Caenorhabditis elegans: one gene and its partners. The protein of the gene in region 3 interacts with the protein of the main gene of each other region in a pairwise test. Each region holds a gene or a part of one and is shown on either strand. Other genes may lie near its edges.

What was found.
Region 1: the proteins of F13H10.1 (region 3) and toe-2 interact in a two-hybrid assay, tested with the Caenorhabditis elegans proteins (one large-scale study listed by BioGRID).
Region 2: the proteins of F13H10.1 (region 3) and cash-1 interact in a two-hybrid assay, tested with the Caenorhabditis elegans proteins (one large-scale study listed by BioGRID).
Region 4: the proteins of F13H10.1 (region 3) and T28D6.4 interact in a two-hybrid assay, tested with the Caenorhabditis elegans proteins (one large-scale study listed by BioGRID).

What each region holds. Positions count from the first base shown.
Region 1 is NC_003280.10:6,516,688-6,523,201, forward strand, and holds toe-2 (Target of ERK kinase mpk-1), read right to left. Parts: upstream 4,689-6,514; 5' UTR 4,501-4,688; intron 2,982-4,500; 5' UTR 2,975-2,981; coding exon 2,806-2,974; intron 2,762-2,805; coding exon 2,431-2,761; intron 2,378-2,430; coding exon 2,002-2,377; intron 1,954-2,001; coding exon 1,321-1,953; intron 1,242-1,320; coding exon 1,126-1,241; intron 1,013-1,125; coding exon 883-1,012; intron 835-882; coding exon 724-834; 3' UTR 501-723; downstream 1-500. Other genes in the region: C56E6.7 (uncharacterized protein), read left to right, coding at 1-170.
Region 2 is NC_003283.11:10,360,320-10,366,474, reverse strand, and holds cash-1 (Striatin N-terminal domain-containing protein), read right to left. Parts: upstream 4,215-6,155; 5' UTR 4,151-4,214; coding exon 4,094-4,150; intron 4,046-4,093; coding exon 3,938-4,045; intron 3,893-3,937; coding exon 3,706-3,892; intron 3,663-3,705; coding exon 3,484-3,662; intron 3,432-3,483; coding exon 3,379-3,431; intron 3,332-3,378; coding exon 2,893-3,331; intron 2,844-2,892; coding exon 2,498-2,843; intron 2,022-2,497; coding exon 1,474-2,021; intron 1,425-1,473; coding exon 1,296-1,424; 3' UTR 541-1,295; downstream 1-540. Other genes in the region: putative tubulin polyglutamylase ttll-15, read right to left, coding at 5,231-5,531, 5,582-5,715, 5,766-5,891, 6,003-6,131.
Region 3 is NC_003282.8:11,002,673-11,005,570, reverse strand, and holds F13H10.1 (MADF domain-containing protein), read right to left. Parts: upstream 999-2,898; 5' UTR 987-998; coding exon 845-986; intron 800-844; coding exon 726-799; intron 668-725; coding exon 527-667; 3' UTR 502-526; downstream 1-501. Other genes in the region: F13H10.9 (uncharacterized protein), read right to left, coding at 1,770-1,874, 2,163-2,228, 2,279-2,386, 2,431-2,566.
Region 4 is NC_003281.10:11,358,842-11,366,489, reverse strand, and holds T28D6.4 (Nephrocystin 3-like N-terminal domain-containing protein), read right to left. Parts: upstream 6,035-7,648; 5' UTR 6,003-6,034; coding exon 5,841-6,002; intron 5,235-5,840; coding exon 4,632-5,234; intron 4,572-4,631; coding exon 4,071-4,571; intron 3,927-4,070; exon of another isoform or gene 3,704-3,926; intron 3,584-3,703; coding exon 3,100-3,583; intron 2,589-3,099; coding exon 2,119-2,588; intron 1,573-2,118; coding exon 1,117-1,572; intron 756-1,116; coding exon 456-755; 3' UTR 292-455; downstream 1-291.

The DNA of each region.
Region 1 (6,514 bases), on a different chromosome or scaffold from region 3:
GAGAGGGCGGATCGGTTGAAGACAGTGGCAAACCGCTTCGTGCTGTTGCGTGTCCTATTAAAGTGCGGCTGAATAATAGGTGTCCGTCGTCGTCGACTTCGGCGCCATTCGTCCGTCTGTCAGTCCGTCAAACTTCTCCGGCCGCAGCTTCTTCATTTTCGAGAAACTGACGAATGCAACTCGATTATCCGATTTACTACTGCGCAATAGTTTTCTGGCCAGAAAAAAAACAGTTTGAAGGACGGAAGAATAAGATGAAGCCGCTATTGTGATGAGAAAAGTAGAAAAAGTGACGTAAATTCACGATGGCAACTCGTATACGGAAGACTATACGGTAGGTGTCTTCAAGAAGTCAAGCGAAAAGTTAATTGTTGCTAAATTGGAACTTTTTTGCAATGTTCTAGACTATCAAAAAACAATTGTACGGTAAGTGTTTGTAAATCGGATGCTAATGCCAATTATGGCATTGTTTCCGTTTCGACCTGAATGTAGAAAAAACTGTAAATCAAAAGATTTCATTAAAGGAAAAACAGAAAAAAATCAACTTTCTACTGAAAGTAAAGACCCGATTGAGATATTGGGTGGTGGTAAAAGCGAGATGGTACAGTAGATGCATTCGGCATATGACATTTTTGTATGCATAAAATCAATCGAATCTAGATCATTCCGAAGCTAAAACAATTAAATTACAGACATTTAGGGATTATAAAATTTCGAGTTGCTTTATATCATTCCTGGGAAAAAGTCGTTGTACAATTTCGGGTAGAATTTCTTGAAGTTCATCAATTGTTTCTTCTTTTCTGTCAGCGACAATTCCTTGTTGTCGATAACTGACTGAAAGCAATAAAATTATTACAGGAACCAAACTATTCATAAACTCACATTGATCATGGTTACCAGTGCTGAGTCAGTCTCATTCAGTCCATCTTTACTTTTCGAAGTTTTTGAACGAATTGATTCTCTTCGAACTGTATATCTCACTGGTGTCAGGTCACCTTCAAGCGAATTGTGTCTGAAAAATTATGTTTAATTGCTAAAAAATACAATTTCAAACAGGAAAAAAAGGCATGCAAAACAGAGAGAAGCATTCCGAACAAAACAATATTAATTTGTGAATTACTATACTTTCTCTCTTTTCGTTGCCATTTAATTTGTCCATTTACTGACTTTGCTCGAAGAGAGCTTTCCAATTGTGCCGGGCGTTGACCTAGTTTTCCTTTTTGTCGCAGTTCAACGAGGGTCTGAAAAGATTAAAAATTCCAGATAATTAAAAATAGCCAAAATCTCTGTTTTTCAGGTTTTAAAATTTCTGTAACAAACCTCGATGAAAATGTCTTGTTGAACATTTGTCATACATCCTCTCGGGAAAATAAAAGAAGACAGCTCTCCAATTATGACATTCACATTCTCTTTGTATCTCCGTGGATCCTTTTTCCCCAAATAATATGGACTTCTAAGATCTTCCACTGCATCCGTTCGCATAGTAAGTTGTAGCCACTGCACAAGTTGGTCGATCGTCTTGCGTATAGGATGAGGAACCATCAAGAAGATGTACATGACTGCCGTCGACAATTTTTCACCAGAATCCATATCGTTAATCAACTGCTGGGCAATCTTTGTAAGAAGAGGAGCGAATTCTGATGGGAACAACGGTGATGATCCGTTCTGTGTCATCTTCTCAAGACGGTTTTTCACTGCATCCAATGCTGCTCGACACCAAAGGTATAATTGTTCGTTATGGCTTGTTTTATGATTACTTGCGACAGGTTTCGCCTCAAAATAAAGTAATGGAGCACAGCAACGAGCCATCTGAAACCATTGACTTGCATCCCGGATCAATGGATGTGTTTCGATTAACAAATCCATATGGTCTTCCTGGTGCGGGTCAAGCCTTTCTTCACTTGCACCCAGTCCAACTTTTCCCAGAATGGATGATAAAAATGATGCATTGTTCTGAAATGAAATTATGTAAGTTTATGATCAAATATTTGTATTTAATACCTTTGAATCTTGTACCGGAAGAGCAACATCTTCGAGAAACTCAACGTCAATCAAGCTGAGTAAATGGAAGAGAGACAATTCATAGACTTCCGCTTCTTCCTCTTTTATCAACTGTTGTTCTGCTTTTTTGAGTTTTTTCTCATTCTTTTCTGAAGAAGACGAGAACAGACTCCACGTCGATTTCAAATTTGTCGAGCTTCCATCTTTTAAATTATCTTTGTCTTTGTCCCGACCTCGAGAATTGGATCTATTCCGGCGAACGAATGGAGAAAATAATCTCTTGATACTGTTACTGCGACGGCTGCTTTCTGATCGCGAAACTGATGCAGAATCGTCATGATTTCTTGAAGCGATCGGAGTATTCACAATATATAATCTAAAAATAAAAACAAGTAATTTAATATCATTCGAGATAAAAAGTTTGCTCACGATTCAGAATCTCCTCCAAGCCTGTAAAATGTACGTTCAGAATCAACAAATTTCTTCTGATGAGATTCTACACTTTGAATAGTATTCGACTCTAACCAAATTTCAAGCAGTTTTACAGCGTTGCTTCTTCCGATATTGTCGCGTGGAAACTCGTTGCGATGTGTTTCGATATATGCTGTAAGAATATCTGCAGCTTCGGCTCCTGTGAAGTGTTCTTCAGATTTTCTGAGCACGGATATGCTTCTTTTGAAATATGATTGCATTTGTTCCATCGTGTCTTTTGCTTTGAACTGGGATCGTGCTTGAGGCTGACTATTGTTTTCCTTATCATCTGAAGAAAAAATATTGAAATTTTTTATACTGACTGAAACAAACCGTCACGAGCTGGTTCGATTTTCAACGCGCTTCGCTGTGGCTTCATTGGAGCTTCTTTTCGTAATATCCCTCTCGGAGGTTTAGGCGGCGGCGACGGTGTGTTTTCCAAAATTACTGAATGAACAACATCTTCGTCATATGGGATACTGAAGTGACGAGACGAACTCATTTTTGACCTGAGGACATGATGGACGTTTTTGTGGTTAAAAGCTGGTAAGACACATGCAAAGCACACGGGAAAATTGGACAAAGGTGCATTTTATTCGAAAAAGTAGTGAGAACAAATTTTAAAAGTAGAAAATTGCATTTTTTTTAAACTTCTTTCATGCAAAACTTAACATTTATTTGTGAGAAACCTTGAAATTCGTAACAAAAAAGAGCGCTATATTTAAATTCTTATTGATGCCGCGAAATAATTAGTCCGAAAGGGCGCGTTTGCTGCGCACTACTGTAGGCCGAAAATTATCCATAAAATACATAGCATAACATTGTTTTTAAACTAAGTTTGAAACAATTATAAAACTGAAAAATGGCTGAAATGGTATTGGAAATTGCAATAAAGACATTTATAAACGTTCTAAAGTTGTTTTCCGTCAAGTGTCCCACGGTGTTATAAAGGAAACAATCATAAAACGTTGCAATATTGATTCGTCATGGGACTATTCTGCTCAATAAATTGTTGTTCGTTCTTACATTTTCCCCGACACTCTGCAAGAATATTGTTTTGTCTAGAAGATTCTCACGCTCAAAAGTTTCAATGTCCATGTTCTGGTTATCAGCAAAAAGGAAAAGCGCGTTTCCATTTCGTTGAAACCGTCCATCGATCACTGATAAGACTTCATCAGCATAGTTTCCACTGTTCGACCCTCCTACACTTCTCACCTCATTTATTTTAATGTGTATTACGATTTTACATGTGTTTTTTAAAGTTTCTATGGCCACTGAAACCCTATTTTATGACTAGCCTTTTTTATCTAGAACTATTGACAGTAGTGGTTTTTGTCTGAAATAGTTTGCAGGAAGAGAGTAATTAAATATTTGAACCGTAAATGTAAGCTAATTTTCGTTGAACCAACTCCATTGAATTCTTTTAAATTCCCTGACGAATAATGTAACACAGACGCGAAATTTTGCGTCAAAAATACGGTTCCTGGTCTCGACACGACGAAGTTTTATTGAATGCAAGAAGATGTGCTCCTTTAAAGTACTTCAAACTTTCGTTGCTGCGGAATTTTCATCAATTTTAAGTTTTTTGCACGGTTTGTTAAAATGTATGTTTTTGATTGTTTTATTTTAGTTTTAAATAAATACATTTTTACCAAAAAATTCCAGACAAACGAGAGTTTGAAATTACAGTAATCTTTAAATACGCACACCTATTTTCACTTAACAAAAAGTGCCCTGTCAAGACCCGGTACCGTATTCTAATTATTTCACGATTATAACAGATCAGGCGTAGGTCATTCTTCCAGACGGGTTATAGATTTTTTGTCTTGTAAGCAGGCAAATATTTATATGCATATGTGGGATTACTCAGAACTAAATTTGAAGTTCCAATTTCAAAAGTAGTTACGGATTTTCTGTTTTAACAAAGTAATTTTATAGAGTTTTAAATGAATTTCTGCTAAACATTAAATAAAATTATTTTTCGATTGCATTCGAAACAATTGTATTCTTGGAATGATTTAGATATACCTTGATTGACAGCTGCTAACAGAATACAGTCGATATATGACGTGTCCAAGTTTACTTTGATTTTCCCAAACTGGTCGAGATGTCGATGAAATTTGCATTTTTTCGCTTTTCTAAATAAACAGACAGCCTTGACGTTGGCCGGCTACCGTAACACAATAATCTCACAAACTGACGACACTGGGGTTTTTTTGCTGACACACTCAATTTTTTTCAGTTTTCTTCCCAAAAGTCAACATATATATTCCTTTTTCCAACAGATAAACAAAACATAAAATGGCAATAGTTGAAAGAAATTCGAAAGATAGAGAAATTGCGGCAAGCGGCGTTGAAAAGATTACGGTGGCCAGGGAGACTGGCACGGACACAGCACAAAGGAGCACTTATTCATTTGAATAGTTTAGTTTGATAGACTATTGATTTTATATTTATCAAGGCGGAACTAACTGAAAATGGGTGTTTACCGCGTGTTTTTGTTTTCAGTTATTCAGCTGTAGTACGTTGATAGTTTTTGAATATCAAAATAGTTTATCTAAATAGTATCACAACTAAATACCAACTATAATTTAGTCAAGGAATTTGTGGTACAGATAATTTTTTTGAGAATTATAACGAACTATTTTATAAGCATTGTCTCATAATACAGAACCATATTGTAATAACTTAAAACTCTATGATAAAAATCACAGTCAGAAAAATTAATTGGTAAACGTAGAATTTTAATCAAGGTTACAACTATTGGGCCAAAACAGTATCACTATGAGACTTCAAAACAAGACGTAGTAGGTCATTCTAAAACTAAATTCGGACTAGGTCATCATAAAAAAATTTATCTCAACTCTGAACCCTTGACTTTCAATCTGAAAGTATTATTTCACTAGATTGGAGGCCGAAGGAATATTTCCAAAAGTGGATTTTCGTAAAAAAAAACATTTTTTAATGGTTTCAAAGTTGTCAAGAGGAAGGAAGCTTCTGGAAGCTTTTTGAAAATTATTTGTATTTGAAACATATCTGAATTTTTTTTCATCTAATTTTTTATATAGAAAATTTAGGGTTTTATAGTTGAGTTTCGCTGCTTGCTAGTTGGGAAAATATTAAAATTTTTATGGTGCTAATGACCGAATATCATTTCTGTTCAAAAAAAATTCATGGATTTTTACGATCTACGATCAAAAAGCGACACAAATCTAAATAGACTATAGACTATATCATAGACTAGATAGTTACACCAAAGAAATAGGAAAAATTGTAAGTTAACTGTTTTGCTAACAGTAAAATAACAAGTTGGCTTTGTACATAGATACAACAGAGTGGACTTAGGTATCTGAAAAATGGCGTTTTCAAAAATGTTTCAAGGTCGTGAACATGAGTGAATTAATATAAACTTCTCAAATTTTTCTAAGCTGTTCCAATATTCATAACCCGGTATATCCATATTGATCAGGATTGCCACGTCATAGAGCCCTCAAACATCGACTGACAGGATTTTCCGATGGCCCTTTCGGTCTGCACGCACCGCCTGTGTTTTGTCAACGAAATATCGGTCCCGTCGACGACGACAACTGGGTCTCATTCTCACTCTCTGCATAATGAATGATGGCCTCTCTCCTGCATCTTCTCTCACTCTCTGTTCAGGCGGGGAAACCCCGTGTACGAGGACACCCGCTCTCTTGTCCACTCGATTTACAATTACTCATTGGTTCGATGACCGTTCCCCGCTCGTTGTGCACTTTTGATCTTTGGTCGCTTACGTTTAATCCTTGAGAATTGATACTATTTTGTTTTTATTTGATATCAAAACATTTTCCGTTCAATTTATTACCACCTATTCAAGACACACACTCCTCATTCTCATATCACTGAATCTACTTGATCCTTTCCGTTTTCAACGTTCTATTCTCAAGGTTGTTTGGTCATCTAGCGTGGTCAGTGTTGTAAAGCGCAAAGTGTTATCTTTTCTGTAAATATCATTCCCAGCTGGCATTAAACCTTGGTTCATCGGAACAAGTTTATGAAA
Region 2 (6,155 bases), on a different chromosome or scaffold from region 3:
ATTATGGCTTTATGACGTAATATTCATAAATATTTCTAAAACGAAAACCAAAAGCGAAAAAGTCAAACATAAAATAACTTGGCGACATTTTTTTTCCAACTTCTCTTCAACATAATCCTTAATCAGTTTGATTCTTGAGAACAGAAAACAATTGAATAAAACAATGACACGAGATTTAGTTAGTTAGCATATTTTATTATTCACTTTTTTTCTTTGTCTTTAAAATTTTAGATTGATTTATATCTATTGGGTTCTTCAATTTGGAATCGAGCTTATAGATATACCTTAATCTTCCCATTCAGCGTTTGGTCTGACGTAGAAAATGTTCATTCAGGTCACATAGTTTCCAGCAAAAGTAGATATTGCCATTCCTCATCGACTATTGGATCAATAGATGGTTTTAAATGGTTTTTTTTTTCTGGTTACGGTACTCAATTTATAAAATTCAAGAAATCATTAATTTTCGTTTGATAATTGCCCAATTGCCCAACACTGAAATGGTAGAAGTGAAAAATTCTGTATTCGTGCAAAAAATCAAACTAGAATTCTCAGTAATTTATGATACAGTTCAAGACATAGTTGAAACACTGTCAGTCGACCGAGATAGAAACAAAGAATAACAGATAATAATGGTAAAGAGAGACGAGGATGAAGTAGAGGAAAATGATGAGAACTTACGGTCTGAATTTGGATTCTCGAGGATATCTGGTTATTGATTAAAACTAAGCGTTTTGAGAATGGAAACAATGCCGAGAGAACAAAACATGGCGCAGAAAGGGTATCTAAGAGAAATAGGAACACGAGTCGAAATTTGTGCAGTTTAAAGATGAGCTAATCAATCAATATCCTATAGATTGTTTTAACCCGATTTGTATCGGTGTTGTTTCACATTACTGCCATAGAAAATATAAAAAATTGTTCGCCCAAATAACCACTGCAACCACTTCAGAAGATGGTTAATTTGAGCTAACTGCGACGTAATATTTACAGGATTGCAGATTAGGTTGACAAGTGTCAAAATGCTCATTTTCGACCCGTGATCAAATTTCATATTTAAAAAGAAATCAATCGAGGGAAGGAGGGGACAGATAAATTACGTTTAGATTTGAATAAAAATGGTTGTTGGTTATCTACAATAAAATAAAGGGTACTGTTGTAGTAATAAAAATGAAGGTATGTAGGCGTGGATTTGGGCATGAACTGGGAGACGAACTGGCGAATTCCTATTATACTTTAAGTTAAATTGGCGAAATATGAAAATAGGGAAATAATAATAAAAAAATGAATGGGATACTCTAGTTGCTTCCTGACACGTACACCTTGGCAAGAGAATCGGCACCGGCAGATCCTATAAGAGATCTTGAAGGATGGAAAGCAACGGAGGTAACTGCTGAATCATTCTTTTTCCGGTGGGCAGAAATTTCCTGAAAAATACTACATTTGTACAGTTTCTTAATTTATAAAAAAATATACCTGAAGGCATGAACGTTTCTCCATATTCCACATCCTGATACTACCATCATGACTTCCAGACAAAAGATAAAGACCATTTGGATCAATAGCAAGAGAAGAAACTCCCTCAACATGTGCGATAGCTTCATGAATTATCGATCCGTTGGTGTTGTCAAAGTACCGAATCGTCCGATCTTCACCGCCAATAAGTGTGAGAGGCATTGTTGGATGACTAACAATTTTGTTCATTGTTGGTGAACCTGTAACCGCTCCGAAATCGAACACCATGACAGTGCTTCCAGTATCGATATCAATAATTTGAGCATAGCAATTTGTGTATGCAGCAAGTAAATGTGATGTTTCCGTAGATACAAAATCAACTGATGTCGGAAGTATTCCGGATTTTGGGGCACCAATAGTTCTGATAAGTGGTTCACCATTTCCTGGTTCCCATAGACGAACCGTTGAATCAGAACTGGCAGAAACAAGGCGACTGTTTGATGAATGATAAGCCACCGACCAAATTGCATCCGTATGTCCAGTAAGTGTTTCAGTTAGGACTCGTGGATCTATAATAAATAACATAACCTTAAATTTGAACTAATTATTAAATTAACTTTAGTCTTATTGTTTGGCGAAAATTTAAACTAAAAATAGCGTTGAATCGTTTGAATCTGTATCGCAAAAGGTAACTGATACTTTGATATTTGAACATGTTATCATAATTTGGCGAAATTTTGTTGTTAGCTTAAAGGCACGCATCGTTTTCCGAGTGGGTCTCATAACGATTTCAGTCATAGTGGTAGCTACGAATGATTCACTTTTATTAGAAAATTGATTTTGAGAGAAAACTAAACTTCTAAAATTGCACTGAGAAAGTCCAAATTCTTCATAAAATATTATGCATCTAGTGTCCCGTTTCTGCGAAAGGACGATACTAATTTCAATGCATAATCTTTTTTTTCCAAACGATTTTGCACAAAATGAAGCAAATTGTGATTAATTAGTTTTTGACAGCTCATTTTAATTAAGAAATAAATCTTACCATAAGAATCAAATGGATCCCCGTTTGAAGATGGTACATTGAAACAGCAGATGTTTCCATCGATACCTCCGGTGTAGAGATGATCTCCAGTTGGCGACAGGACTAAGCATAGAACAGGGCCTTTGTGTCCCCGGAATGTATAAACTGGCTCAAGCTCGGTACCACCACTGTTGTGTTTCTCATCTTTCTTTTGATCGAGATTCCATAATTTGATCAGACCGTCTTCCGAAGCAGTAAATAGTACGGGCTCAACTGGATGGAATTGCATCGCGCGAATCGAATCAAGGTGAGATCGTAGAGTAACTTTGATATTCCACTTCACTTGTTGTGCATTCGGATCATCATCCTGAATTTGACAATTATTTTTCTTTTATTTTTAAAACTGAAAAACTCACTTCATCTTTGAACTCGTCCTTAATGTCCATATTATCATTATCTTGCATTCCAAGAGCAACGTCCAACTCATTTCCGTTACCATATCCAAAATTAGCACTACGTCTACCTTGTCGCCGAACTGGAAGTTCTTCTTGTGCAGCGGCATCGATAGCTGATCGAATTCCTGGTGGAACATCAGTCTCTAGATTTTTCTGAACATCGTTGCTTGTTTTCTCTTCGGATTCTTCAGTTGACGTCCTTGAACGCCGCTTCACTTTTGGATCGTCCTTGTATTGTTTTATCAGTTTTTCGAATGAAGCTCCTTTTCCTGCCCAGTCATCGTCAGAACCTTTTTCTTTCGCATCCATATTGTTTAGAAAATCAAACTCTTCAAACGCCTTTGAGGCGTCAGCATCCAAGGCTGCATCATCATGTCCGTCATCGGAATCACTGTAATTACTTAGAACGATTGCTATGTGTTCAAAAAGAAAGTAGTGAATAAGTACCTGTCACTTTTCTCTTTTCTACCATTGAGACGTTCACTGGATGGAAGATCAGCCTGGAAGTTCAAAACAGATTGGTTTTTTTTTCAAACTATTGAATTTTCATACTTGGGGTAATAATCCGAGAAGATTTTTTACACGGAAGGATCGAACATCCATGATGTGCTCGCTGTATCCAATTTCTTCCAGATAACGTTTGAGAAGAAGGCGTCCCTGCCTGAAACTACCTCCAGCTTCACCAGCATCATTTATGTATGCATCAAGGTCGGCCGTCAAATGGCTGTTTTCTGAAATATATATTTTCGATCGGAACGTCTTCATAGAAATTACCGCTTGGCGCTGAATTTTCATTTGGAGATTCTTCCAGTGATGGTGGTTCTTCGCCGTTGTGGGTTAGTCGATAATTTTTGGCACGTTCTTGTTTCAGGCAGAATTCGAGCATTTTGATACGACGGACAAGATCTTGTTTCAAATTTTCTTGACCTTTTCTTTCTCCTTGTAGGAAAGCAATACGAGCCTACAAAAATTTCACATTACAATCGTAGAAAAAATATTTACTCACCTGCATTTCGGCTCTCTCTGCTTCCCACCTAGTTCGATCTAACTCATTTTTTGTCCATTCGTGTTGTATAAAGTGCAAAATACCCGACATTGTATACTGAGGACGAGTCTGTAAAGTTTTCGATTTTTACAGAAGCTGAATTCCAACTCAACTTACCGTTTCGTCCTTTGCTTTGTCATTTTGTGAGTTTGACAATTGACTGGCGTCCTCCATTGTAAACTACTCGAATCCGATCTTATTTCGAGTAATTTACGTTAATGAAGCAAGTGCAAAAGCTGGAAAGAACAGTTGAAAAAAATTACGAAACGTGTATAAGAAGATTTTCAAAAAGTTTAATTGCAATAGAGGACGAGAAGTTTGTGGCAAAATTGAAACTGCTTATTAGGGCTGTAATCAATATAGATGAGCTGATAAAATAAAAGTAGCATCAAGTCGTACGAGACTGATGAAAAACTGATTCGATTAGGTGGACGCAGCCCCGAGGCACGAGGAAGAAAAGGGAAGAGCGAGTAAAACGAGTGCCGTTGTCTGCGTCGCGTGTTCGGCGCGCGTCTTCATATTAACAATGGGGCGCATATTCGTTGCAATTATTGGCGCCTTTTCAAATTTGAAAGGTAGACTTTCTATAAGTACCGTATGCCACTAACAATTAAAAAATACAAATGTGAAATCTATTTTCCATTTGAATTTCAAAATGCTAATATATTAAGTGGCTTAGCAGACTGTATCCGTTAACCAAAAATATGAGAAACTTGAACTTTGCCAACATAAAACCACCAGCTGAAAATCAAATGCATTTACTTGGGTTTTGGATCTTGGAGAAACTTTTATTATATTATTTAATCACCTGCTGATGTAGTTAGAAAAAAGGAATGAGATTTTATTGTCTCAAATTTTATCTAAATTTCACGCGTATTACGTTTCAAGCATATTCAGGTACTTATTTGCATCACATAATATCTTTTTTCATCGAAAAGATTGTTTCAAAAACAAAATTGAAAAACAAAAACGGAATGATTTATTTGAAAATTAAAATTGATTACTTATATCCGATATATTCAATTTATTTTTCAAAAACAGTAAGATAACGTTCAGTTGGTGACCAATTTTTACTGAATAAAATAATGAGATCAAGAGAAACTTTCAAAAAAACTTCAATCTCAAAACCCGCTATGCAAGATTGTCTTAAAAACTCCCAGAAAGTTGCATTTGAAAATTTCTAAGTATTTTTTGAAAAAACCGGGACCGTCATAGTTTTGGCCAATACAATAATAAAATGTACAGCACGCTACTTTAACACCACGTATTATCCAATTGACATTTGGTGCTTAACCATAATGTGAGAAGATGATCTTCTTTTGTTAATGGATGATGATTTTCATAGTCGAACTGAATTCGTTTCATCTGCTTCCTGTTCGAATTTTCCACAAAAGTCTGCTCCAGTATTTTCCTTGTTTCTGTATTCATACAGTGTCCGCATAGCTGGCATTCTGGAGCCTCATCACATGATTCACATTTATTTTCAACACAAAATTTCAGCGGAAGATTGATGTCTCGGGAGTTAACAAGAGGATTTTGTTCGGATGTACGTGATCTAGAACGGGAAATCTAATTTGTGGACAGCTTCAAATGGAATAAACGAACTTGAACAAGATGTCAGCTTCTTTTGTAATTGGTGTTGAAATTCCAGTTAGAGAGAAAATGTTCATTAGAACTTGTTCATAAAGTATTTGATTTTGTTTAAAATGACCTGAAGAGAGATTAGGAGACATATTCGCCTGCAAAGATGTCTTGTAAATTTTAATGATTCTGAAAAATAAATGCATACCTCCATAAGAAAAACGTTCAATTGATCATCGACCACAAAATCAAATCTGCTTAATTCAAAGTATTGTGGATTTAATTTCAAGTTTTGAAGACTCATTAGCATTTTTGTTTGCTGTGTTCGGAAGACCTGAAAAAAGATAATGAAGTTCAGAAAAAGTGTGCAAAATTTTTTGATCGTCTCCTTTGAATATCTAGAAAATATGCATCACAGAGATTAGTTGAGAGTTCTAAATATTACCTCTCCAATAATATTTCTTATCTGCAACCAAATCTTGCTTGTATCCATTCCTTGCATTCCCAAATAAGAATCAATTGTACTCTTGAAGCTCATTTTTTGAGTGTTGAAGTATTTTTTCAATGAATTTATCTGAATATCTTGGGTATATTATTA
Region 3 (2,898 bases):
GAATAATAGTTCAACATTGCTGAATAGCACATTTGAAAATCAATCATAATTATAAATTTCTGAATGAAAGCTTTGGCAAAATTCCAATTTTTAAAAATGTGTGTTTCTTTAGAATTACAGTCTTTTGTCGCATTATCGATCATCTCCCCGGGCATTTAAAAACATAATCAACATATATTATTAATATTATTTTTAGTGGAACAATTTTTTGACCGATTTCCAAAGTAATGAGTTGCAAATACCCGCGTAAAAACTGTACAAAAATAATCATAAGGAATTTTGGTGAATTTAGCGCTGTTTGGATGGCTTACATTAGCAGGCCGATATAAATTGAGAAAACATTTTTCCAGAAAATCTACTTTCAGAACTTATTAGTTTATTATTTTCTTTCCCCAAAATTAAAAAAAACCTTTTTCCTGGCAATGATTGGATTTGAAAACTCACTTTATCACTACATTTGTAAGTTTCAAAATATCGTTTAGCAATATTAAATATTTAAAAAAAACAAAAAATATTTATTGCAGTTTCAGACGGAAGTTTCTGATGGTTTCGATATCAATAAAAGTTCATCTAATGTTGGTTTCAAGAAAATAGCAAGTGATTCAGCAACAAGAGTATCTGCCGGTGTAAAATCATCTTCTAGGGAAGGAACTTCAATTCGAAATTGCTGAAAATAAACATTTCGTTTGAAATTTATTTCTTGAAATTTAAATTGTTCTGCTCACCTCTAAACTTGCATTTCTATTCATAAATCGATGAAGCCGAATGAGATATTCCCATTGCATTTCAGCTTCCTTTGCTAAAAATCTGTTGGATATTATTTTCATATATGTGCAAAACTCACGAGAAATATCAAAAGTGTGCCCGAAATGAGCCCAAATTTCATTCATATGCTCACGAGATATATCAAATTCTCGATTTTTCCATATTGCTGGAGTAAGACGAATTTGTTCGATAAATTCTTCCAGTCTATTGTGATCCAACATTGCAACTATGAACTATTATTTTTAAAGTATAATTAAATCTTTAAAATGAAGATTTAAGTAAAGAAAAAAGACATGAAAACAAATTAAAAATGTGTGAAAGTGTCTGGAAAGTGGTGGACGCTCAAAGTGAATTCCTCAAGAGTTTTGTCATTCATTTTGGATGAAGAAGGAGTGGAAAAAAGGAGTGTCCTAACACTTCTCAACGACCATGCTTGCGCAAAAAAGTAAAAAAAGTTTTGAAGGCCCAAAAAGCAAACAGACTGGGAAAAGCTTGAACTTCTTGGAGACTCACCGATATGTATTTGTTTGTATTATGTTTGTTCTCACATGATATCGCATTTCGTTTTGCGCTGGGTTTCTACTAAATTGTACGTAAGATGCAAAAGTGTAATTGGAATTACTGTAAGATGAGATGGAAAAATGTCTGGTTTCCAATGACGAGATACTTATATCTTTTCTAATAGTCATGAACATAATTTTTGGGATTTGCCAGATAATTATTGAATGCAATGTGATATTTGAAAATTTCAAAATAATCGTTTGGATATGAAAACTTACAACAACTGACAATTGCCAAAAATTTTCAATCGCCGCCCACACCTGGTTTCACATATTTTATTAAATCAGAGTCTGCCTTTGTGACAATTACTATATATATTTTGAAGCTAAAAATATATTAGGAAATAACTTTATTTTTCAAGAAACAAGAGATCTTCCGTTTTTCCATCATGATATCGATTTCAAAAATGATATAGTTTTAGACATGGTGATAGCTAGTGATAATCATATTTTTTCCAAATTGATCGAACTGCTCAAACCCGGATTCAGATCAACTTCCATCGGGGATATTGTTTTTCGTGAACCATCAATGTTATTGAATACGTTTGTCTGAAAACAATTATTATTTTGCGAAATGTGGTGTTGAAATAATTCCATTATTTGATTTCATAGATTACATTGATTTCAAACTCTACTAAATTTATGTAAGCGCAATACTAACGGAGACTACAAGTTTTTATTATTATTTAGAAATAGTGATTTTCAACTTTCACGAAAAGTGGTTTCTTAAAATTTTTAATTGTTGAATTTGAAATCCAAAAAAAAGCGCAAGACTAAAAGAGACTGAAATACTAATTTTCAAAGCGTGTTAGAGTTCAATATTAATAGATTATGTACCTTTGAGTCATTCCTTTGCAATGAATCATTTGACATTGCTATCTCGGATATGGTGTCCAGCCGTTTCTAAAAATAAAAATCAACAAAACCGTTTAATTTTCAAAAAAGTTTCTTACATTTTTCGCAGCTTCTTCATCTCTAAATCTCTGTGCAATTCCAGTAGCTGCACCGGATCTTGAATTATTATTGGAAGCATTTGACACACCGGTTATTCGTTCTTCATACTGAAATCCATATTTATAATTTTTGTTCTTAATTAATAACTAACCTGTCCAATTGTTTCATGGCTTCTAGATGATTCTTCTCGATGAGATCTCACAGTATCCGTGGATTTTGAAATGTCTTTGATATTTAATCGATTCCCTGGTTTAATGCTTGCTTGAACCACGCCGTTCTTAGCTTGCCTGAAACATGAAAAAAATTGTATCAGTTTTTGAAATGAATATTTGCTTTGTTATAATTTTAGAAAACTAGATCACAATTTCAGTAGCACTCAGACAAACGCTTAGTAGTCTAATTAGATTTCAACCATATTTGTTTAGAAAATCCATATTGCATTATATTTGCTCCATATTAGATTAGAAATCCATGTTAGATTAGATTCCCTCCATATTTCATTAGAAAACAAATCTAATCCAATATGGTCGAAATCTAATCCAATATGGCACGATCTCAGCCATATTTGATTAGATTTCAACCATATTTGATTAGAAAATCCATATTGGATTAGAATAGG
Region 4 (7,648 bases), on a different chromosome or scaffold from region 3:
TGGAAACCGGTTACGGTTTTTCATTTTTTGGTCGCAGGTTTATTGAAACTAACGGTCTGAATGGGGTTTCTTAATGGGAGTGACCGTTGGTTGTAGTTTTGGAGGAAATTGGATAGAGTCAGGTTTCTTGTTGAGGAACGGCAAACCGGCAAATTGCCAGAATTGAAAATTTCCGGCCAAGCGGCAAATTGTGGGAATTGAAATTTTCGACAAATTGCCGAAATTGAAATTTCCGGCAAATCGGCAAATTGCGAGAATTGAAAATGTTACTTTTTTTTTAGCTTTCAGTGAATGTTTATTATTAATTTTCAATAATAATACTGACAATATGAGAAAGATTTTGGGTAAAAATTCGAAAAAAAACTGTGACCGAGTTAATGACATACAAAAAAGCACCGGTTAATAAAGATCAAATTCCAAAAAAAAACTATTTTTTCAGCAAAGAAAATATGAGATCAATGATTATTATTATCAATTCTATGAGGCATTCTCAGTGATGATGTGGCTTTCAGGATACGCTGTTTACTGGCGTCGAGTGGGCTATTGGGGACACTTGAGCCAATTCCAGATGATCCGGATGAGCCATTTACAGATTGGAGCAGAGAAACTATTGGCTCGTTGCCAGAAATCATGGCCACATCCATGGCGGTTCGTCCCATAGAGTCTTTGATCTCTGGTTCGGCGCCAAATTTGAGGAGCAGGTTGACAAGATCGCGGTCGCCGATTTGCGCGGCAATGGAGAGAGCAGTGGCACCCTGGAAATTGGTACTGTATCTTATCTAGAATGATAGGTTTACTGTTGGTAACAGTACCTTAGGCTACTGTAGGATTAAGGTTACTATTTTCTAGCAGTTCTGTTATACAATAATGGCTACTGTAGCTCAGGGGTACTGAAGGATTGCAGTAAGCAGAGGATACTATACTCTAGCGACTCTGTGATAATATGGTAGGATACTGGTATTGTATACATGATCCTTATTTAGTTGGACATGATTGTTTTAGGCTAAGCAAACTATAGTTTATGGGTTACGATATCTTAGGGTTACTGTAGAACTACGGCCAGTAGGTTAAGACTACTGTAGTTTAGGGTACTGTAGGACTAGTGAGTTAACATACCTGTCGATCCGTTCGATTCGGGTCAACTCCACAACTATCCAACAAGAACACCGAAATCGCCACGTGTTTCGCCCAAACTGCAGTCATCAAAGCTGTACGCCCACCTCTATCAACTGCCTCAAAATTTACTCCACCAATCCTCTTCAGCATTTTCGCTGCCGCCACGTCATTCGTCGAAGCGACCACGTGTACACAAGTTCGGCCATGAGCATCCGAGTCGGATGAGTTGGCACCATGGCCTAGATAAACCTCGGCCACGAAGATCAGATTGGAGAGGATTAGGGTGTGGGCTAGTGGGGTGCCATCGTGGTCCCGTTGGCTCCAATCAGTGATGCGAGGGGATATCAAGTCGATTATTGAGGTATGAGCTGCCATTGAGGCGAGGGATAAGGCAGTGCGACCTTCGTGGTCAGGTTGGTTGATTATGTCGGAGATCCCCATTAGGTACTCCAGGACCTGAAAAGATACATTGTTGTTTGGTGACCTTACAGAGCAAGAGGCCTTATTTCGGCTTGATCTACGTAGATCTACAAAAAAATGCGGGAGACGAGACGCAGAGTTCTCAACTGATTTCGCATGGTTAAGAACGTGCTGACGTCACATTTTTAGGGCGAAAAATTCCCGCCTTTTTGTAGATCAAACCGTAATGGGACAGCCTGACACCACGTGCTTTCGAAAGCTATAAACAATTTTTTGAATTTCTTAGAATATTTTTTAACATGTTCAAATTTTTGCAACAAGTTTTATTATAGTTTTTAATTCCGCGCCAAATTTTTTGGATTAATTTTAGAATGTGTTTTTTTTTGAAAATAAATTGCAGCATTTTATCGTTTTATCGAGCATAAATTCGAAAAATAAAAAACTTTTTCGAACCTAATTTTTACAAGTTTTCTGGAACTTTGATTTTAATTTTTTTTTTAATATTTTGAACTTGGCCCCCAAAATTGCAATTTTTTTTAAATTTTTGAATTTTCTATAAACAATTTTATTCGATTTTCCTACCTTCAAATTTCCATTAGCCGCCGCAATCATCATCGGATGTTGTCCATATCGATCCTTTGCCTCTACCGTATGCTGATTCGTCAAATGCTTTACCAGCTCCACATGATCATGGGTAACAGCATAGTGTAGAGCCACTGCACCATCATTATCCTTATGTCCCTCATCCGATCCAACTGAGCACAAGAACTCTACCACCTCCGGGTGACCATTAATAGCCGCCCATTGAAGAGCAGTTCGCCCATTGTTATCGATAGCATCTACGTCTGCTTTGGCGGTTTTTGTCAAAAACTGAACAGCTTCCAATTGACCTTGACTAGCAGCTAACATCAATGGAGTTTGTCCCATATTATCCATGACGTCAACTATGGGGTGCTTCTCAAGAATCAATTGGAGGCAGGGGTCCCCGTGGTAGGCGGCCAGGTGCAGGGCCACGCGGCCGTTGGCATCTTCAATTTTACAGTCCGCGTTGTCTGTAAGATTTTATTGTAGATTGTAAAAAATATTTTTTTTTTAAGTTTTTGGAACATCCTGAAAACTCCCAAATTTCCTATAAAAATTTTGGACCAAAAAATTTCAATTATCCGCTAAAATATCTCAATGATTTGAACTTTTCGCAAAACTTGTTCTGGGAAAAATTGGATTTCCCCCAAATATGTTCTCTAAAATTGGAATTCCTCGCCAAAAATTATGTTTAAATACTGGAATTTTCAGGAAAATTTTTCTCCGTAAATTTGAATTTCCCCCAATTTTTTTCTCAAAAAATTTGAATTCCCCGCCAAAAATTTTGTTAAAAAATTATAATTTTCCGGAAAATTTTTGACCACAAATTTCAATTTTCCGCTATAGTATCTCAAAAATTTGAACTTCTCTTTTTCCAAAAACAATTGTTGATTCCCGATAGAAAAAATCTTTAAAAATTAGAAATTCCCGTCAAATTTTTTTTTGAAAAAGAAAAAATGGGACGAGGCTAAAAATCCTTACGTTCTAACAGCAATTTTGTTGTTTCAGAGTTTTCTTCTTGTTTCGAGCCATTTGAAAGATTCAAGTGCAACGCGGTGGCTCCGGATTTGTCGATGGCATTTACATCAGCTCCATACTGAATAATAACTGACACCACATCCTTATGACACATGAATGCTGCTGCCATCAGTGCGGTTCGCTGCTCAGAATCCCTCCGATCAACTTCAGCGCCGGTTTGCAGGAGAAGCTGAACTGCGGCGAGCTGGCCAGACCAGGCGGCTGCTCGGAGAGCCGTTCGATCACTGTGACCACATTCATCAACGTCGACACCTTTCTCTAGAAGAAGGTGAAGGATCTCGAGTTGTCCGTAACAGGCGGCACTTCTCAATGCATTCCATTCTCCGCAGCAGGAGGAAGCGACGAGATGGGGGAAGTGATCGGCCAGAAATCTGCACATTTCAATGTTTCCTCTGGCCGCGGCGGTGAGCAGGCCGAAGCAGATGTCCTGGAAGATAAATTGATTGAAAATATTAGGATTAGATTTAGTAGAGCAACCGACATTGTACGGGTCAAATGAGACTCCAACCCGTTTGTTGTCGGCTGCGATATTTCGAAAACATTTCGAAACATATCATCGCAACCGACAACTAACGGGACCTCGCCAACCAAAATGGTTGAGGGGGTTCAACCCGTGAGACGTCGGCTGCTATTACTTTTCACTTTTCACTGAACAAAGGTTGAACTTCTACCAGCTTTTTTTTCAAAATTTTTCGGTCGCAAATTCAAGGTTATTTTTTAAGAAGCTACGACGCGAAAATCAAATTCAAGCTTTAATTTTACCGCGAAATTTTTAAATTTAAAAACTAATTTGGTGCGAAATTCAATTTTTTAAACATTTTTCAGCAGGGAAAAATTATTTTTTCATAAAATTTTGGCGCAAAATCCAAAAATATTGTATTACGTCGGCTGCCAGAAATAAAAAAAAATCTTACCATAGGCACCGGCTTCATCTCCCGAAGAATTGCATCCAGGTAGCTGACATCTCCAACAGAACAAGCATACACTACGTCATAATTATTTTCCTCCATTCTTGCTCCAGCTGATTTTAAAAGTGCCGTCGTTGGTAGATCGATAACATGGCACCGGAGAACTAAATTCCCGGCTCCGACGCTTTGCAGAGTCTTCACAGCATTCAAAGGATTTGTTGTAGAGTGAGAAAGGTGATAAGCGAGCTCACAAATATCCTGAGCACTCTTTCGTCTTTTCGTCTTATAGTGCTCTGCCCACGCAGTATGACAACGGAAGTTTTCCTCGCCGATCAACTGGAACCAGATATCCGGCACGTGGAATATTTCAGATGGATTTTCAGATGAAGCTGTTCCGATAAGAGAAGTGATAATGCGAATGTCCTTTTCCAGAACTGATATATCTCGGGAAACGAGCATCTGGGAAACGGCGAGCAGCTGCTGGCGTGTCGGTCGGTTACGGCTGGTCTGGAAAATTTTAAGATATATTAATGTAATATTTTTTTATAATCCAATCTAAAAATTCACCTTAGCCAGTCGAACAATATCCGCAAAACTCCTCGGTAGACTTCTCGCCACTAAGTGCATCATCTTCTCTACCCCAATCGGCGGTACCATATCACTTGGCACCATGCCAAGTTCCACAGCTCTCGCCAGTTGCTCCACGTAGAACCACGAACCGTCTGACGCTTCACGGACCTCTTCCACGTGGCAGTGCGGGAGTTTCAAGCGAATGAATTTGTCAAAGTCCGAGTCGATATGGAGCTCGAGGAGCTCAGTTTCAGAATTGGTCCGGTCTCGTGACGTGGTCACAATTTGAATCCATGGTGGCAGAATCTCAACGAGCATCTCCACCAGCACCTGCGTCTCCTCGTCCTCCACACTATCTATCACCAAGAAAACTGGCTTCGATGTGGAAGGCATGGTCTCGAGGGGAAGACGCAGAAAATGGTCGAGAGCGGATACCGTATCCTCTAGAAGGGTTACTGTAGTTAAGCGGGGTAAGACGAGATTAGGGAATCGACGCATCAGTTGCTCTCCGAGAGATCGGATTACGGTAGGGGGCTCCGAGGATTGAGGCTCGTCGTGACTGCAGAAGTGTGAGGCAACGCATTCGGACACTTCGGAGAGCTGGAATTAGGTGTTGTAGGATTATTGAAGTGAGGTAGGGGTACTGTAGATCTACTGTAAAGCAGGTGGATAATTAATCTTATGGTAACTAGCAGCTAACATCTTACGGGACTCTCATTGAGTCTAATGAATTCCTGGCCTGCAGGATGTCGGCCGCTCGAAAAAAAAAAGTAAAACATTTTATTATGCGAATTTCTAGAGCAGCCGACATTCTATGGGCTCCCTGTACCACACGATACTCCCCCAAACTCCCTAGCCATAATGCTCCTCTCTCTCAAGTACCCATATGTGCATTAATACTTCTCACTCCTTGACACATGCTCCATCGCCTTTTCAAGGGTCATTCAATAGGCCTCAAGGCATCATTTTGCAACTACGATTTACCGGACAATACTGGTTAAACAACAGAGCATAATTTGGTTTTGAGAAAAACGAAAGTAAAATTTTCAGTAAATTTCGAGAAAAAAATTTTCGTAGCAATTTTGGGCATTTTCTCGAACATTCAAAAAATCGAGCCTATGCCTAAAAAGCCTAAGCCTAAGCCTGAGTCTAAGTCTAATAGTAAGCCTATGCTAGGCCTAAGCCTAATTTTTATTCAAAACTCACTTTCCGTGCAAACCAAGTTTTTCCGGAATGCTCTTTTCCAATAATTTCCAGCCGTCTAGAATTTGCCTGCTGAAACCATTCCAAAAACTTGCTCATTGCCACATTTCTGGGTGCTCCATCCAACGGAGCACCATGGGCTCCGTGGCTTAATGGTTGGCGCATTACTTGAGCATTTGATTGGTGAGGGGAATATTCTGAAAAAAGTGTATTAGAAAAATAGAGTAAATTGTTAACGTAAAGTAAAGAGGGCTAAAAGTCAAATCCAATCTATTCATTTCTCGGCACCCGGGCTCCTTCCTCAAAAACCCATAAATCAAGGAAAAGCGGCTCTCGGCCTGACGGAAACAAAATTGACATGTCATCTGGAGCTTCCCCTTCGGTTGAGCCAGTGGATGAGCACAAGAGCACCCCATCCGTAACAGGAGAGCACAATGAAATGAAGGGAGGAAGAGCAAACATTTGGAGCATTGAGTGTCTCTTTTTATGTAGATTTACGTGAGAAAATTGGGTTCAGGGGTATGCAAAGGGTATAGGGTATAGTTGATAATTTTCAAAAACTGATCTGTAGACATAGTGGTCAACTTATGATATTCTGTAGTGAACACCAGAAATTTCAACAAAAATTCAAAAATGTCGAAAAGTTAATCTGATTTTCACCTCTTATACCTTGAAAAATGCCGGAAAATGCTACAAAAATCTTCATTGGACCTAGAGATAATTGCAACTTGTACTATAATATGAGATTATCAAAACTTCAAAAAAAAACAGATGCACTCTTAACTTATGATAATAATTAGTAATGACTTCTAGAACTAGATTTAGAGAAATTGTCAGCTTGAAATATTAATATTTATTGGTAAATGTCAAAATATCAAATTAATGATTTTTTTAGAATAAAAGTAAAGTAGAGTGAACAAAAACAAAAAATACTAATCAAACTCCTATAGATTAACTGGATTAGTTAGTAGATTAGTTGAAGAGAAAGAGAGAGAGAGAGAGAGAGAGAGAGTAATATTTCATGGTGACATATGGGTCAATTGGTATATGATTAGGTACTTGCCAAGACCCCTTATTTGATTGCTACCAGCTAGAAGGGTGTCAATAAAATTACTTACGTAAATTGACAACACCTTTTGCTCAACACAAATCTACATAAGAAAAAAAACACAAAACGCGTAGTTTTGGCATTTACCAACTAATATTATAAGTTGACAATAACCTACACTTCGACTAATCCATAAAAACTTAAACCATTCAAATAGTTAACTTCCAACAACCCACCACCACTACCGAGCACATTAAAATTACCAGTTTCCGTCTCTCTCTAATTCTCGAAAAAGTAGGACATATCCTCCCCGGATGAAGGACGGGAGATTGAAGAGGAGAAACAAGGACAATACTACAAAAGTATGCAAGAGAGGGGAAGGAATGGGATTATAATGATCTGGGAATATGAACAGTTAATTAATAGGGGGAATAGGCAGAAGTGTCGTAGGAGAGGTAGTGTCAATTTTTCTTATTAGTTGGTATATTCCAAAAATGCCAAATTTCAGTGTTTGTAGGAAACTTTCAAAATCCACATTAAAAAGCGTTTTAATTCTCCGAAATATTTTTTAAGTTACTGAAAATTGTCTAAGATTACGATGGTGCTAAAAATGCACCAGAAATTGTCAAAAAGTTACAAAAATTGCCAAAAAAAGCACTAAAATTGCACTTAAAATGCCAAAAATTAACTGCATTGCTGCTAATTGTAAGGAACAAAAACTGCCGAAATTATACCAAAATTGCAAAAATATTACTTACTAAAA